Linked DNA regions of Ovis aries. Each later gene encodes a partner of the first gene's protein in a complex. Links are inferred from orthologs where the notes say so. Each region holds a gene or a part of one and is shown in the gene's direction. Other genes may lie near its edges.

Region 1 (4,112 bases):
CTCATGGGAGATGGCAAAACTCCAGAGGCTGCAACTCAACACCACTTGCTCAGCTGAACCACTCCCACTTAGGAGCACACCCTGTCCCATCCTAACCTCACAGACATCTAACCCCTAAGCTGAGGCAGGCATGCCCTGGAGATACCCCTGACAGCTCCTAGAGCACCCACAGGGGACAGAAGAGGAGTGGGGCTCATCCCCTCCTCCCCTGGGAATGCCAGACCTGCTCTGAGACTCAGTGTTCCCATCTGATAACAGGCCTGCAAGATATTCCCTGGAAGAGCCTGGCCACGTCTGCAGGTCAGACTGCTGACCTCAAGTTTATGGGTACACACACGTGCAAGTGTGCACACATACAGGTAGATACGTGCACACAGGCAAGTCCACACACACGCATTTCACATGTGCATGCGCTTATACATTCACACACATGCAACATTAACCCACGTAAGCGTAGCAAAGTACACATATAAACACACACATAAGAAGTGCACCAAAACATCCATGCACACACACACGTGGTACACAAACAGGCAAACACAGACATACACTTGTACTCATGAAACCACAGGCACATGTTTACACGCAGGTATACACAAACATATGTCATTGCCTTGCTTGACACCAGTACAGGATACACGCACACGCACCCAAGTCTGTATGAATCATGGAGGCAGGGAGAGGCCTCACCGGGTTGGATCCAGCCCTTGGCACAGGGCAAATGCAATGTCCACATTTCCTTCCTGACTCCCTGTTGAGCGTGGAACCCTGGCCTGGAGTCACCGGCCCTTCTCAACCACCTCCTGCAGTGTGATCCTCTGAGCCTCCGCTTCCTCATCGGTGCAGGGATGTGGGGCATCCGCCAGGCTGCTGTGAGCTCGGCAAGGAGCAGTGCTGAGCCCAGTACTAGGCAGTGGGCAGGTGCTCCTTGCAGGCTTCTCCTCCTCCCTGCTCCCAGGCCCACCCCTCATTACCCCCACCCCCAGAACTGAGGCCCTCTCTTCCCCTTTCTGAGCCTGAACCCCCCAGAACTTGTCCCCCTGCTTTGGAGCAAGGGCTGGACTACCTCCAGGGTCTCTCCCAGAGGGTTTGGGGAGCGGCAGAGAGGGGGGTGCAGAGTCAGCAGTTGAGGGATTGGGGCTATGCCAGCCTGATTAGGAGGGCTGGGGGCTGAGCTGGATTCACCTGTCCTTGTCTCTGATTGGCTCTTAGATACCAACAACCCCCAAATCCTACTAAGCAGCCCCACCAGGCCCTGCACAGATCTGCAGACAGCCATTGGATTCCCAGTTCGGGGGTCAGAAGGGTGTCCGAGGAGGCCAGAGGCTAGCCCGAGCCTGGCTCTGGGGAACCCCTCCATCCGGAAGAACCAACTCACGGCCCTCCTCCTTCACCTCCTGCCAGGACCATGGGGGCTGGGGCCAGCGCTGAGGAGAAGCACTCAAGGGAGCTGGAAAAGAAGCTGAAAGAAGATGCTGAGAAAGATGCTCGAACCGTGAAACTGCTGCTTCTGGGTAAGGGGGTGGGCTGAGGAGGGGCCACATCTGCCAGTCAGAGGCCTGGGGGCAAGCAGGTGGCCCTTCTGTGAAGCAGGTGTGATTTGGGAAACAGAATGAGCCTACAGCCTAGCAACAGAGTGGAGTCCAGGCCAAGCAAGACCAGGCCTGATGGGCGATACTTTTGGCTCCCTAAGGCTAGGTATCCCACAGAAACCCTCTCTGGAGGGCTCAAACCTCAGGCAACCTCCCCTCCCAAGATGTGTGTGCCAATCACACTTTTTTGAGAGACGTGTGTTCAAGGCCCACTTTTGCCCAGGCTATGTTCCCTCAAACTGCAGCCTTTAGCTTGACGGGCCTGCTGGGCAGGGCTCAGAAGCCAGGGGCCTCATTGGGAGCACCACAACAAGGCTGCTGCCTTGGGAAGGAGAAGGTCACAGTCCTCCTGAGAGTAGGTAGCTTCCAGGACCTCCCAGGTCCACACACAGTGGCCCTCAGTTTCCAGAGCTTCATTGCTGGCAGACCTGCAGGACAACTGAAAGGTGTAGAGGGCTACTAAGGCCCAGCGGAGAATAGATACTTGGTCCCATGGGTAGTGAGGGGACATAGGTCTGATCTAGTACTTCCTCCTGCCACCACCACCGAAGGAAGGAACTGCTTTGAGAAGGCACCTCAGGCTTCACCAAGGCTGTCCAGGGTTCAGCCAGACAGGTGAATGTGTGTAAAGAGACCAAACCAGAGTACCCCAGGAAAGACAGGCTAAGCCAGAAATCCCATTAACTGCGCCCGACACCCACACGAGAGCAGGCTCAGAAGGACTGTCAGCTCTGTCTTCTCCCCCAGCAAAACGTGCTAATTCCCTCTGAGCCTCTTGGGGTCACTCCCTTCCACCTCAGGTGGAAAAGCAGGGGTTGACCTGGCTCAAATAATCCCATGCGCGTAGTACCAGAACCGTCCACAAGGTGGAGCTCCAGGTTTCTTTATTTTTGGCCTCCGAAAAATAAGACAGCCTACAAGGTGTTGGAGGCTCCAGGACAGAGTTGAGGTTGTCCATTAGCCTCGTCAGCCCACTTTGGTCACTCCTGACATTTAGGTTTTGCTGCCGGAGCATTAGGACGTTATTTTGGGAGTGTGGTAGGGAAACGGGTGGGATAGAGGGGACAGTGTGGTCTGCGGATCTCCGAGGCCGGGTTTCCATTCCAATCCAGGTGCCGGTGAATCCGGGAAGAGTACCATTGTCAAGCAGATGAAGTGAGTGCCCCCACCCTACCTGAGGCCCTGGGGGTGGGTGGTGCCCCTGCCCTACCGAGGCCCTGGGGGTGGGCGTGCTCTGGAGGTCTGATCCCCGACCCACCCAAGAGGTGCTAACCCAGCTCCTGTGGCTGTAGGATTATCCACCAGGACGGGTACTCACTGGAAGAGTGTCTCGAGTTCATTGCCATCATCTATGGCAACACGCTACAGTCCATCCTGGCCATCGTGCGTGCCATGACCACGCTCAACATCCAGTACGGAGACTCTGCGCGCCAGGTGTGCCAAGAGACTAGCTGAACAGGGCTTCTGGGGATCCGAGGCTGGGCCCCAGCCCCTGGTTACCGCCAACCACTCCCCTGCTCTCAGGACGACGCCCGGAAGCTGATGCACATGGCAGACACCATCGAGGAGGGTACGATGCCCAAGGAGATGTCAGATATCATCCAGCGGCTGTGGAAGGACTCCGGCATCCAGGCCTGTTTCGAGCGAGCCTCGGAGTACCAGCTCAACGACTCTGCTGGCTAGTGAGAGCACAGGCCAGGTGCAGGGGTGGAGGGCAGGCAGGGCCCTGGCACATCCCTCCACCCAACCCTACCCACACCCCGTATCTCCCACAGCTATCTCTCAGACCTGGAGCGCCTGGTAACCCCGGGCTACGTGCCCACGGAACAGGATGTGCTGCGCTCCCGTGTCAAGACCACGGGTATCATTGAGACGCAGTTCTCCTTCAAGGACCTCAACTTTCGGTAGGACACTGAGCCCTGATTCCTGCTCTGGAGTGGGGAGGCCTTCCCCAAGTTCACTGCCCGAGGCCTGCTGGTCTCAGAGGTCCCAGCCCTTCTAGAGACCCTGCCACTTCTCCAGCACCCCACCGGCAGAGAAGTCCGGTCCCTCCGGATGCCAGGCCCATCTGGGTGCTTCCCAGCCAGCATCAGGAAGCCAGGGGATGCCCGTGGGCGTCTCCGGGGGACTTGATGCCCGGGTTTCCGGTGCTCACGGCCCCGCAGGATGTTCGATGTGGGCGGGCAGCGCTCAGAGCGCAAGAAGTGGATCCACTGCTTCGAGGGGGTGACCTGCATCATCTTCATCGCGGCGCTGAGCGCCTACGACATGGTGCTGGTGGAGGATGACGAAGTGGTGAGCGTCTGGGCCGGGCCTGGGCGACTGAGCGGGGAGGGGGAGAGGAGGAAGGGGAGCCGGCGCTGCAGGCGGGCCGCTGGGAGCATCTGAGAGAGGGTGTTCGTCCCAGAGCCCTCTGCAGGAGGAGACGAGGCAGCCTCCTCATCAGGAGATGAGGGAGAGTGGGTGAGTGGGAGGAGAAGGAGAGTCTTGGAGCTGTCTGAGTGGGGACCCGGAGCCCAG
Region 2 (3,958 bases), about 6.0 Mb from region 1:
GACAGTGGGTTTCCTGGGGTCGGTTCAGTGTCACCGTCCTCTGAAATCACACGCCCTAACCACACGCCCCAGGGCCTCTTGTTTCCAGAAACTGTGCAAAAATCCCTTAATTACCCTGAGCGGCCTAAAAAGACCTGGGTGCCTGCAATACAGACATTGGGAGCTTTTCCCTTCTCCCCACCTACCTCATGGTCCGAGGCCTGGCCTCCAGCCACTTGGGAGTGGTAGGCCGGCTGAAGAAGCGCCAGGCAGGGAAGCAGGGGGGCAGAGTAGGGGCGCGGGGAGTGAGAGACTGGGAGAGACCAGGGTCCCAGGGTAACACAGCGCTGAACGAGGCAACAACACTGTTTCCACACACTTGGATCCCTTATCTCAGTAGATGTGAGCCTCACAGCCAAGGAAAGGTTTATTATCCCCATTTTACAGAGGGGGGAAGTGAGGCCCAGAGTGAGGGCAGCCCTGCTGCAGGCGTTGGCAGAGGACTCTGGCCAGCGGGGCCTGTTCCCCGGTCCCTCACACGCGGGTCTCCCCCTGCCCCTCCGGCCCCTGCCCCTCCCGGGCCTCAGGTACATCCCGGAGGGCATGCAGTGCTCGTGCGGGATTGACTACTACACGCTCAAGCCGGAGATCAACAATGAGTCGTTCGTCATCTACATGTTCGTGGTCCACTTCTCCATCCCCCTGATCGTCATATTCTTCTGCTACGGGCAGCTGGTGTTCACCGTCAAGGAGGTAGGGTCCTTGGGGGACCGGTGCTGTGGGGCTGGGGACAAGAGCGTTGATGAGGCTGAGCGCGGCCCCCGGCCCAGAGGAGCCTCGAGTCTGGACACCGGGCCCTGTGTCCCCGCAGGCGGCTGCCCAGCAGCAGGAGTCGGCCACCACTCAGAAGGCCGAGAAGGAGGTCACCCGCATGGTGATCATCATGGTCATCGCCTTCCTGATCTGCTGGCTGCCCTACGCCGGGGTGGCGTTCTACATCTTCACCCATCAGGGCTCCGACTTTGGCCCCATCTTCATGACCATCCCGGCTTTCTTTGCCAAGTCTTCCTCCGTCTACAACCCCGTCATCTACATCATGATGAACAAGCAGGTGCCTGCTGGTGGGGTGGGAAGGGGCCAGGTTCCCCCCGAGGCGACAGGTGGAGAAGCCGCAGTCTTAATCGGGCCTCAGTCTTTCCACCTGCAAAATGGGCGGGGTGGGTGGGTGGGTGTTGGTTTTCCCTGGGGTGATCATGAGTCATCCGGGAGAGATGCAGATTCCTGGACCCACCCCCAGACCTTCTGATTAGAAGCTCAGGGTGGGCCCAGGAATATGCATTTCTAACAAGCCCTCTGACACTGGCTTAGGAAAGAGAAGCGCCAGTCCAGATGGTTCTGAAAGTCCAGACGGTCAAAGTCCCGGGCCTGGGAACAGGTGCCAGTCTCCACAAAGCTGGACAGGATGCCAAAAAGTCTCGTTCTGAGGGATGAAGGGATAAAGCAGTCCTTTTAACATAGACCAGAGGTTCCTCTGCAGGTTCTTTGGTCCAGTGGGGAAAACCTGGAGTCAGACAGATCGGGTTCAAATCCCAGTTGTGCTAGGTTTTAGCTGTGTGGCCTTGGGCAAGTCACTTCCCTTTTCTGGATTTCAGTTTCTTCATCCATGGAAAGGATGAAATCCTAAACTCTTGGGTTCAATGGGATAACTTCCAGATGGCTCTTGGCACACTGAGGGCATCATGGCACGTCACCAGTGACAGAGTCCCTTCGGGTTTGGTCCCAGCCATCTGACCGGGGATCGGAGGCTGGGAGGGCCAGAGGCAGAAGAGGGAGATGGCACACCGCGCTGACAATGCCATTTCCCACCCAGACTCTGCGGGACCCTGAGCACCCCTACCCTAACCCTACCTCTTCCTTCCAGTTCCGGAACTGCATGCTTACCACCCTCTGCTGTGGCAAGAACCCGCTGGGTGATGACGAGGCCTCCACCACCGTCTCCAAGACAGAGACCAGCCAGGTGGCGCCTGCCTAAGCCCCTCCAGGGACTCCATGGCCAGCCGCAGGAGTCCCCCAGCCCCCACCCCACCCCAGCCTCAGCAGCTCCATCCGGAGCCGCGCCTGTTGGAACCAGCTCTCACAGGCTCCCTGAGTGTAAACACAAAAACCAACCAACCAAATGCAAACGAATCAATGAGCGAAACAGGAGGCGCCTCACTTGGCAGGGGCGGCCCGATCTGGAGTCCTGATTTCCCGGGGGCCCACTGTAGCTCCGCTCCCCTCAGCTCATCTCTCAGCTACACAAGAGCTCTTGCTCTGGAAAAGTGTCCCAGCTTAGGGATAAGTGAGTAGCACATGACGGGGCACGCCGTAGGTGCTTATTAATAAATGCTAGGTGGAGGAAGGAAGGAATGAATGGAGACGTGGATGGAGAGATGAACGGGTCGGGAGGGCATAGTCATTCTCTCATAACATGTTAGCAGCAGCAGCAGCTCGCCCTTGGCTGATGACCTTGAGCAGTTGTTTTGTCCTTGGGCCTCACTTTCTTCCCCCATACAATGGGAATTCCAAATCTCTCCTCACATGGCTGCTGGGAAGATCAAATGAGATTGTGTGTGTGTGTGTGTGTGTGTGTGTGCACGTGTGCTTGCGTGTGTGAGCTCTTTGTAAATAGTAAGGAGCTGGACAGACTGTAGTTAACATTATGAATAATATCAATTAATATAAGTAATTCATTCCTATGATCATCTCCTCTTGATAGCGACCATTTTGAGATTGGGCAAAGCCCTAAGCATCCAGCCTCATCAGGCTTATAAACATTAGACAGACAGCAAGGCCAGACCAGCGCTGGGTGGTGGGCCACAGGGAAGGACAGTCAAGGAAATGCAGAGTGCAGTCATCAGGCCTGAGAAGAAAACAAAAACACAAGAAAACAACATCAGAGGACCAGAGTCTGGGGCCAGTGCAGAGCCCCCATGACGCGGGCCATTCCCTTCCAGTGCAACCCACAGAGAGACAGGTCTTGCTCTCGGCATCTGAAAAACCACTAGCTCTCCTGCCCAGCACCCAGGCTTCAGCATCTCTGGGCCCGTATGGAGCTTCTAGAAGTTATGTTCACCTGCCCACATTTAACGAAGAGCTGGGTCCCCAACATCACCTTTGTCTCAAAAAGAGCTTAAAAAACAAAAGTGTGGGAAATCCAGCTGGACCCACCTTCCCCCAGGGAAGTTCACAGATCACAGATTTTAGCTCCCTTGCTGGGCAAGCCTTCAGCGGCTCCAGTCCGTTCTCCACTCCAGAGAGTCCTTGCTGCTGCGAGGCTGGCTGGGACTCTGGGACATCAGAATCCAGCCGCCTCATAAATGCCCCTCCTCAACTACATACCAAAGCGGGAAGCTCTACCTCTCCCCAGCTCTGCCTGGAGATGAAGGCAAATTGGGGTATTAAAAGCTCGGCTCCTATCCTTGGTGTTAGTGGTGGTGGTTTTTGTCAGTCTCAAGCTCTTTATCTACAGGATGGGTAGAAACGGGGCAGTGTTCATCTGATCCTTAACCCTGGGGTTTCTGGGTTTGAGCAACTATCAGAGCCCCCTGGGAGTGCAAGCCCAGGAATGGGAAAAGCTCCAACCTCAGAGTCACAGAGATCCAGGTGGCCTGTGAAACTGCAGGCAAATTTTGTCACCTCTTGGAAGCCTCCTTATCTGCAAAAGGGGATCTTAAAACTGACCTTTATGAGATTTCAGGCTTTATGCAGCCAACGTGCTTCCTGAGCTCAGCAGATGATGAGAGGCTTTTTTGCATTACTGGAGCCTCAGCTCCGGGCTGGCCCTACCAGGGACCTCATCTGAAGGGGGAATGGGATGAAGGGGTAGCTCCCGAATGACCATCCTCCTCCAAGGCGGGAAAAGGCAGCAGGAGTCTGAGAAGGGAGATCCTTCTTGTCATGGAGGGGCTGGGGCAGGTAATAGCTGGGATCTCTGCTG
Region 3 (4,350 bases), on another chromosome or scaffold:
GGGGCAGCTTATCTTTCTGCCCTGTTCCTCACAGTCCTCTTGCACTGAGTGGGAGCATTAGGGAAAAGCCCTGGGTGGGATCTAGGGCCCTTCCCTCCTGCTTCTCTCTGATCCCTCAGAGAGAGCCCTAGCACTGCTCTTCTAGAAGGGGCCAGGCCCGTGTCATCTCTGGGGCCTTCTCCCTTCCTCCTGGGTGGCTACACTTGGTGGGTGCAGCCTGATGCTGTGTGTGGCAGAGCTTCCCTTCCTCATCCCTTTATAGAGGCAGTGTGGTACAGTGGGGAGAGTTCTGGACTTGGGATCCAACATGTCTGAATTCAACCCTTGCTTCTGCACTTAATATCAGGGGAGCTTTGAATAAGCTACTTAATCCTCTCTGAGCCTCAGTTTTTCTTTTGTTAAAATAGCACTAATGACACCTCCCTTACAGGGTGGTTGTGAGGATTAAATGTGATGAGCTTGTGAAAGTGTCTGGCATATTCTAGGCTCTCAATAAACATTGGTTGAATATGAACTGGAATGATATGAAGTGTGATCATACCTTTCATTCTTCATTCGTGTGTAAGTCATGGTTTCCTCCTGTCTGTCTTCCTCGGCTCACTGGGTCCGTTTTACTTCCACCTAGCCAGGTGCCCTTCCTACCTTTCCTGTCCTGGAGGGCCCTGTGGTGACTAGACATTGTAGGCTGTTGTCCCTCAGAATTTCCTGGGTTATCTAGCAGGGGGTCTGGGAGAGGAGTAGCAGTGTAAGCTCTCAGATACTAACTGATTCATAAATTCTAAAAAAGAATATACAGTTGGCCCTTGAACAACGTAGTGGGTGAGATGCCTACCCTCTGCGCATTCAAAACTCAGACAATAATTTATATTTGGCCTTGTTTATCTGCAGTTGCATACCCACATATTCAGCCAACCTCCCATCGTGTAGTATTGTAGTATTTTCTATTGAAAAAAAATCCAGATAGGTGGACCCACTCACTTCAAACCCATGTTGTTCAAGGGTCAACTGTGTTGAGTGCAAGCTGCAGTGGGCACTGGACTAAGTGCTGGGTATTCTAGAGAACAGAGACGAGATCTCCAGTTTCACCGAACTGGTCTTGTAGGAGGACTGGTCAGTGAGCAAATGAAACGAATTTCAGATGATGCATTAGAAAAAACAGGCTGATCAGATAGTGATGGGGTGTCTGAGAGGGCCTCTGAGCAGATGACATTTGAGCTGAGACCGGAAGAACGAGAGGAGGCCACCTCTGGGGGAAGAGCATCCCAGGCCCTGAGACGCGAACTCATGTGCGAGGGGCAGAGGGAAGGGCGGAGTGGCTGGAAGCCAGCGAATAAGAAGGGGTAGGTAGCCAGGACCCTGAAAACCCCTACCGGAAAAATGAACGACGTCCCCGGGCGGGCCCCCTCCCTGCCCCGGGTCCGTAGCCCAGGTGGGCGGGCGGTGGGCGGGGTCAGCCCCGGGCCCACCCCGGGGGCGGGGCGGTACCTGGGGCTCCGGTCCGGCCGGGGGCGGGGCTGCGGACGCTCCCCCTTCTCTCGGCTCCAGCCGGCGCAGGCAGCCGCGGCGGCAGCAGGCGAGCCGCGGCCCCGCGAGGCCATGAAGGTGAAGAAGGGCGGCGGCGGGGCCGGGACGGGAGCGGAGCACGCTCCAGGGGCCTCGGGCCCGAACGTGGAGCCCAAGCCGGAGCTGCAGGCGGAATCCGAATCCGGGTCCGAGTCGGAGCCGGAGGCAGGCCCGGGGCCCAGGCCGGGGCCGCTGCAGAGGAAGCAGCCGATCGGGCCGGAGGACGTGTTGGGGCTGCAGCGGATCACCGGCGGTGAGCACCCGCGAGGCAGCATCACCCGCGGGCGGGAGTGAGAGAGCGCGAGAGGGGGCCCTCCGGGCGCGCAGAGTCTGGGCCCCCGCCCCCTTTCCCGCCCTCCCCCGCCTCCCCTCCCCCACCCGGGTGCCCCTCTCTTGTGTCCTCTACCCTTCTGCCTCCAAGCCTGAGATCTCCATGTCCCCCCTTTCCTCGATCTCTCTCTGCGCTCGCCTTGTCCCTTTAGAGATTCGTTTCCACCCCTTTCCTTCCTTTTTGAGGAGTCCATCCCCCTTTCCCATGGTGGAGGTGGGGCAGCAGCTGCAACTGTGACCCCCTCCCCACAGAGTCTTCAGAGTTTTTTGAAGATCTTCTCTGCAATAATGAGGAGGGGGCTGAATGCAGTCAGTCCCCAGTCTCCTCCACCCTAGAGGCTACGTGTGGTATCAAAACCCTTAGGTCTCCTTCACACTGGACACCCCCAGGAAGTCTGGGGCCATCACTCTCTCCAGGAAAGGACCTGAAGAGGAAGCTTCAGTGCTTTGACTCTGGGCTTCTCAAGGAAGTGGGTTAATACCCCCTTTAGCCTGAACTAGGGCCTGTCCTCTTCTGGGAGGCCAAGCCACCACTGTGGTTGAGTTTCTGAGCTGGATTGCCAAACTGAAGTTCCAGCTTTGCCGTCCTATTGGCTGTGTGACCTTGGGCTAATAACTTCACCTCTCTGAGCATATTCGTCTGTAAAATGGGAATAATGACCCCTAACTTTAGAGAGCTGTTGTGAAAATAAATCCTGTGATTTTGCACTGTGCCTGGCAGGCCGTGCATGCTGTGTAAATAGGGCTCTTTTGTCAATACTGAGGGCCCCACAGGACTGCTCATGGCTGCTGCCTGGAGGCAGACAAATGGGCATTCAGGGCGGGGGAGGGGGTCACCGTAGGCAGGGAACAAGGGAGGGAAGTCTCATGGCAGAGGCCGCGGCTGAGCCTGAAAGAACAGAAGGCACTTGGAGAGGCAGTGGCCTTCTATCTTGGCCTCATTGGTTAGTACCCCTGCCCTGGCTCCCTCTGTGAGGGCAACTTTTGGAGTCCCCCTGTGAGGGTAGGGAGCAGTTGCTGGACTGGACCTGAGCTCTGGTGCTGCAGGAGCAGAAGAGTCCAGGGCTTCCAAACAGCTGTGGAGGGGACTGTGATGGCAGGTCTAGGCCTGTGCATCTGGGTCCCCAGGGGACCAGCATCTCCCTCCTCTCTTAGCCAGGCAGCAGTCATTCTTGGCTGGGCCCTCGGAGCACTGAACTGCCTTACCCAAGCAGGCAGTAATAGGGGGAAGGTGCCTGGACCAGTCTGATGGTGGTGCCAGTTGGGCTATAATTGGCAACAGTAGCATTTAGGATTCAGGTTAGCTCTGGGGCAGAACTTCCCTATAGGATGTCTAACTTGTCCCAGTCCTAGGTAACTTTCGAGGTGATTTTGCAGCCAGAGGGACTTCTAGCCCATATACAACTGTGTGTCTGAATTTGGAGGAAATTCATAGCCCTTAGAGATTCAGCATCTGTGGGCGATTAGAGGAAGAGTCTTCACCAGATCCCTCTTCTTTGTGGAAGCTGAGAACAGGGCTCCAGGAATCTTTCCACTGGCACCCCTGCCTGTCTCCTCTGACCCTAATCACACAGGTCTGAGTTTGTTCTTCCTGGATTACCCAGACCTGAATCCAGCTTAGGAAGCTATTTGTGGCTGAGGCGAAGGGAGCAGTTGCATTCTGAGCCCTCAGCCACTCTGCCCCTTATCGGGCCTGACCCCAAGTCCCAGGCATCATCCTTCTCCAGCTGGGGGAGGGAGTGGAGGTGGTGTCTTGAGCCATGGGCATCTTCCATTCCTCACTTCCTCTAAGGACAAAGGGATTGATAGGCTGAGTTTGCAGTAGAAGAGACAGAGGTCACACTGCCAGTTGTTCTCCAGTGAGAGGAGAGTCTCTGGAAGTTAGGGAATGGGGGAAGGAGTGGAACCCTATGGGGAGCCAGGAGCTGGGCGACTAGGGTGCTGTTCTGAGTTCTGCCTCTTCCTCTCCTCTGCCCTGCACTTTCCTCCTACGTCTTTGGATTAGTGTTTACTTTCTGTGAAAATAAGTTGTGTCCAGGGTGAGGCAGGACCTGCCTACTTCCATTCCTCCTCTCCCCACCGTGGGCTGTGATGGGCAGGCCAGGGCTCCAGCCCCACCATAAGTCCTGTGTAGTCCCTGCTGGACCCCAAGTGCCAGGTGGCCACCAGGAGGGCTTCCTGGAGGGGGCTGCCCCATGCTTGGGAAGAGAGAATGACTTTACATTCACTTCCTCTTCCTGCCCCAGAGAAATCAGTGGTGGCCTAGGGGCCTAGCGGGTGATTTCCGGGCCTCTGCAGGGAGGATGTGATGCTGTGCTGGCACCAGAGCCCCCACTGCACCTCTCTGTTTCTTCCTATTTGCTGTTGGGGCCTCCTCCCTGAGTGCTTGCAGTTGCCGCTGCAAGAGTGGTGAGGGTTGGATCAGGCCCTGCTATTTCTGAGCTTCCTCAAGCCGAG
Region 4 (4,069 bases), on another chromosome or scaffold:
TTAAACGAATTTATGCCTATTTTATCTCCTCATTTAAAAGAAAAGCTAGGGTTGTGATCTGACGTCATGAAGGAGTTGAGCTGATAAAACAGGCCTTCCCAGGTAGAGGCCTTCAGTGTAAAGCCAGCATTTTCCACAAAGGCAGATCTGTGGACAAAAGAATGAAACGACACAGCCACAAGACATGCTGCTGTGCTAATGCCTGAGGATATACCCAGTAGTGCCAGCTGTCTTGGCCAGCTAATGATATCCAGAAGCAGTTGTGGTTTTTTCAGAGAAACATGATAGTAGCAATACAGGTTTGTTACACTTTATGTTAGAGACCATCTACTTCAATCATGTACTACAGATTTGAAAATGGCCCAGGAAAAGATTTCCCTGGAGACAAAAGCACAACAGACCTTAGTGGGCCTGAGGCCCCAAAGGGGTCTACAACATAGAGATAGTTAATCTCAGAGATGTAAGAAGAAGTTTACTGTACTTTTCTCAATAAAACATATTTATGAAAAAAAAGAAAGATTTTCTATGTGTATATGAACCTGGGGTTGATCTTTGTGAAGTCCCAGGAGGAGGAAGCTAGGGGAAGGGGAGAGATGTCGAAAATGCACCACTTGGTGGGAACAGCAGGTGCAAAGGCCCTTGGGTGGAAGGAGTTCCTTAGAACACACAGCAGGAGGGAGGGATGAGAGGTGAGGCCACCAAAGTGAATCAGGACCAGGCTACCTGGCTTTGGGGGCCAGAAAGGGGTTCCTCAGCAGTCAGGACTGAAAGTGGAGAGAGGCCTGAGATGGCAGCCAGTGCCGTATCATCTTTGCTTCAAAAATGAGCAGCTTCAGGGACTTCTTGGTGGTCCAGGGGTTAAGACTCCGTACTTCCAATGCAGGGGGCCTGGGTTCAACCCCGGATCTGGGACCTAGATCCCACATGCCACAGCTAAGAGTTCCCATGCTGCAACTTCAGATCTCGCATGCCACAACTAGGACCCAGCATAGCAAATAAATATTTTTTTAAAAAACAAGCAGCTTCAGGAGAGGCTGGTTGTTCATGATCATACATCCCTTGCCTGCCCTGACCCTGTCCCCAGATTGTCCTTCCCTTGACCACACCTGAGCCCCTTCCCCCATCTCGGGGGAGTCCTCGGTAGTGCTACCCAACCCCACAATCTCATTAGTGTGGTGTCAGGCACAGTCCTAATCAGCTTATCCAGCTGCAGGATAAATGCCCAGCCAGCGCCCTGCTGAGGGAGGCCTGCCACTCACACCCATGGTCCCCTGAGACCTGCTGCCCTGGAACCTGGTGAGTAGCGACCTTCTCAGGTTGCCTTTCCCGGTGGCCACTTACCCAAGGGTGTTAGTGGGTATCTGTCCAGAGGGTGGGGAGCTGGTGGGCTTTTCACCACCGTCCTGAGGTCTGGGTCTATGGGAAGCCACCCACAACCCTGTTCAGAGAGGATGCCCAGCCTATCACATCCTCTGCTCCCCATGTCAGACGGTGGTGCAGGCTGTCCCCGAGGCTAGCAATGGTCTCGGAGCTTCAGGCCACACACACTCAACCAACCTAAATGGGCACAAGCTACAGGCCAGGCTGGAGCCAGGGAAGCTCAGGCAGCGGTTTCCATGGGGTAGCATCTGATAGTTGGAGCTCCATCAGGTCTAAGAACTGCCCGCACCAGGCCCATGGCCTGGAACTGGGGAAAGGGTCTGGCTGGGCCTACAGTGCCTGGGCCGTGAGGAGTGGGTGTTGTGGGGTTTGAGCCACCAGGGCCACCAGACCTGCCGCTGTCCACCTTGAACCCAGTGTAGATCTGGCCCCTGACCCCCGGTTCCTCTCAGGCTGATGCTGGTCCCAGCACAGAGGCCAAAACTTAGGGAGGGGAGGTCCACAGCAGGGCCCATCCAACTCTAGGTGCCCTGGTCCTCATGGCCAGGCCTTCCTCGCTGGTCTTGACAGAACCAGCTGTCCTTGCCTCCCAACTGGTCTCAGCCCTTAAACTCTAGCAGGCAGTGGGTAGTGGCCCCAGACAGAAGTCAGGCATTGCAGCCCACAAATGGGGGACAAGAAAAGGGGCCCCAAGAGGTGATGCCTGGGGCATCCAGTGCCAGGGTAGCTACGGCTCCTGGCTGTGTCATGTACTTAGCCCCAGAACCTTCTGGGCTCACAGTGCTTCCTGAGAGATTAGTCTACCCCTGGTGCTAATAGGCTTAAAGGAAGGTGAGCTTCCCGTGGCCAAGGTCACCAGGGCTTAGGGCATCCAGGGGGAAGCTCTGGGGGAGAGGAGGAAGGGAGGCCACTCCATGCGGTGGGTTCAAGGACACCAGCAGGTGATGCTGGCACCTAGCGAGTGGTGGCAGGTGGAGGGGTTATGTTTACCAACAGAGGGAAGACGCTGCTGGAACCAAGGCTACACAGCCCGGTTGGGGGTTTCATTGTGACACAGGCCCCTCCCCTGCCCTCCCATTTCTCAGGCTACTTTTAGGCGCCATTGGGTGCCCAACATGCCACCATAAATGAGGCTGAGTGTTCCACCCCAGAGATTGGGATGGGGAATGCAGAAGGAGGAAGCCATAAGGAGGTTGCCCCTGGGGACCACCCAGCGCTCTCACCCCCTTCCCGGTCCTCATTTGGGCCCCAAGTGCAGTTGGCAGAGGCTCCCCGGGTCAGGGGACTGCCATCCAAGTCCTACTGGGAACCGGTGGGTCTCATATTGCAGGGTTTCCTCTGTTCCAGGGAGCTGAGATTGGCGAGGAGGGTCGGAAGCAGGAGGGCCCAGAGCGTGGGGCAGTCCAGAAGCTGAAGGTCGCTGCGGGATCTCTGCCAACCTGGCCATGAACCTGGAGCCACCCAAGGCCGAGATCCGGTCGGCCACCAGGGTGATGGGGGGACCCGTCACTCCCAGGAAAGGGCCCCCGAAATTTAAGCAGCGGCAAACCAGGCAGTTCAAGAGCAAGCCCCCCAAGAAAGGTGTCCAAGGGTAAGCAGAGCTGTGGGAGGGGTGGCTCTGAGAGGGGGTGGAGGGCCCACCAGCTGTACAGGAGGGAGGGGGGCTGCACTGCAGGTGGGGGGCTGGGTGGGGCCTCACACCACCCTTTTCTGGTGGAAGGCAATCCCATCCTCCTAAGCTGGTGGGGCAGTTCTTGGGGGCTTGAGCTGGCCTGTCTCAGGGTCCCCATTCCCTGGGGATGGGGAGGGGTGTCCTTTTTAGCTGTTATTGCTGAAAGGTCTGGAAAGCACACCCATCCACGCCATCACCCAGACACTCAACCAGCACCCCACTAACTGATGTGCATCTCCACACACGCAGCCCTATCTGTACACACCCAGGACACACTCAGACACACCACGTTCCCAGGAACCTGCACTCAAGTACACGCACGTCCCCCACACCCCTCCTCTCTTCCTGGCCACCGGCCCTGACTGCTCTGTCCTTGCAGGTTTGGTGATGACATCCCTGGAATGGAAGGCCTGGGAACAGGTATGACAACCACAAGTGTCCACCTAGGTCCCCCTGCTCGCCCACCACCCAGAGTGCCTGAGGCCCAGCCCCCCACCCCAGGCAGAGGGCACCTCCCCCTAGCTGTGATTCATTCCCTTTCCCGACTGCAAGCTTCAGAGTGGGGTCGTTCCTTCAGTGGGTGCTTGGAGGGGCTGGGAGGAACAAAGCTCTTGCTGTCCCCACCCCAACCCCTCTCACCAGCAGCAAGGCCCACCTTCCACCCCGCCTCTTCCAGGCCTGCTGCACCCACTCTCTTCCTGGGCAGGGAACCCATTTGATACCCCCCAAAGGTGGTGTGTCCTGAGAGGAGGGCTCTATGCCCAAGGACCCTGTACCCTCACCACTGGGGTGTGGACAACAGGGCCCAGAGGGCATGGTGGCGCCAGCAGCCATGGGACCCTCAACCTACTGCCCCCTTGTCCTGCAGACATCACCGTCATCTGCCCGTGGGAGGCCTTCAACCACCTGGAGCTGCACGAGCTGGCCCAGTACGGCATCATCTAGCCCTGGATCCCCGCCCTTGGCCCCTCTACTCCACTGCCCGCCGTGACCCCCTGCTCAAGATTCCTGTGAGGA

Evidence for each region.
Region 2: the proteins of GNAT1 (region 1) and RHO are in contact, whole or in part, in a cryo-EM structure (PDB 6OYA), measured with the Bos taurus proteins. The link is inferred for Ovis aries from reciprocal best matches to the Homo sapiens genes GNAT1 and RHO. Residues at the interface, in NP_851365.1 of Bos taurus: Ala27, Arg28, Asp189, Leu190, Val312, Glu314, Tyr316, Asp333, Ala334, Asp337, Ile340, Lys341, Asn343, Leu344, Lys345, Asp346, Cys347, Gly348, Leu349, Phe350; in NP_001014890.1 of Bos taurus: Leu72, Arg135, Val138, Val139, Lys141, Ser144, Asn145, Phe146, Arg147, Val230, Ala233, Gln236, Gln237, Ser240, Thr242, Thr243, Lys245, Ala246, Glu249, Val250, Met253, Met257, Asn310, Lys311, Gln312.
Region 3: the proteins of GNAT1 (region 1) and UNC119 are in contact, whole or in part, in a crystal structure (PDB 3RBQ), measured with the Homo sapiens proteins. The link is inferred for Ovis aries from reciprocal best matches to the Homo sapiens genes GNAT1 and UNC119. Residues at the interface, in NP_000163.2 of Homo sapiens: Gly2, Ala3, Gly4, Ala5, Ser6, Ala7, Glu8; in NP_005139.1 of Homo sapiens: Asp87, Phe88, Val89, Arg90, Phe91, Ile105, Lys106, Lys107, Gly126, Arg127, Phe128, Val129, Tyr131, Phe137, Val147, Glu163, Leu172, Ser218, Tyr220, Asn230.
Region 4: the proteins of GNAT1 (region 1) and PDE6G are in contact, whole or in part, in a cryo-EM structure (PDB 7JSN), measured with the Bos taurus proteins. The link is inferred for Ovis aries from reciprocal best matches to the Homo sapiens genes GNAT1 and PDE6G. Residues at the interface, in NP_851365.1 of Bos taurus: Ser140, Arg201, Arg204, Lys205, Trp207, Ile208, Phe211, Asp227, Val229, Glu235, Val236, Asn237, His240, Glu241, His244, Leu245, Ser248, Ile249, Ile281, Phe283, Glu305, Leu306, Met308; in NP_776846.1 of Bos taurus: Arg36, Gln37, Phe38, Lys39, Ser40, Lys41, Pro42, Pro43, Lys45, Leu60, Val66, Ile67, Cys68, Pro69, Trp70, Glu71, Phe73, Asn74, His75, Leu76, Glu77, Leu78.

The regions. Positions count from the first base shown.
Region 1 is NC_056072.1:50,208,433-50,212,544, reverse strand, and holds the start of GNAT1 (guanine nucleotide-binding protein G(t) subunit alpha-1), read left to right. Parts: upstream 1-1,277; 5' UTR 1,278-1,408; coding exon 1,409-1,514; intron 1,515-2,704; coding exon 2,705-2,747; intron 2,748-2,884; coding exon 2,885-3,026; intron 3,027-3,116; coding exon 3,117-3,274; intron 3,275-3,367; coding exon 3,368-3,496; intron 3,497-3,757; coding exon 3,758-3,887; intron 3,888-4,112. UniProt on the Homo sapiens protein: Functions as a signal transducer for the rod photoreceptor RHO. Required for normal RHO-mediated light perception by the retina.
Region 2 is NC_056072.1:56,173,736-56,177,693, reverse strand, and holds the end of RHO (rhodopsin), read left to right. Parts: intron 1-566; coding exon 567-732; intron 733-850; coding exon 851-1,090; intron 1,091-1,900; coding exon 1,901-2,011; 3' UTR 2,012-3,437; downstream 3,438-3,958. UniProt on the Homo sapiens protein: Photoreceptor required for image-forming vision at low light intensity. Required for photoreceptor cell viability after birth.
Region 3 is NC_056064.1:19,957,816-19,962,165, reverse strand, and holds the start of UNC119 (protein unc-119 homolog A), read left to right. Parts: upstream 1-1,529; 5' UTR 1,530-1,596; coding exon 1,597-1,816; intron 1,817-4,350. UniProt on the Homo sapiens protein: Involved in synaptic functions in photoreceptor cells, the signal transduction in immune cells as a Src family kinase activator, endosome recycling, the uptake of bacteria and endocytosis, protein trafficking in sensory neurons and as lipid-binding chaperone with specificity for a diverse subset of myristoylated proteins.
Region 4 is NC_056064.1:50,649,834-50,653,902, forward strand, and holds the start of PDE6G (retinal rod rhodopsin-sensitive cGMP 3',5'-cyclic phosphodiesterase subunit gamma), read left to right. Parts: upstream 1-1,240; 5' UTR 1,241-1,296; intron 1,297-2,727; 5' UTR 2,728-2,825; coding exon 2,826-2,971; intron 2,972-3,431; coding exon 3,432-3,472; intron 3,473-3,920; coding exon 3,921-3,997; 3' UTR 3,998-4,069.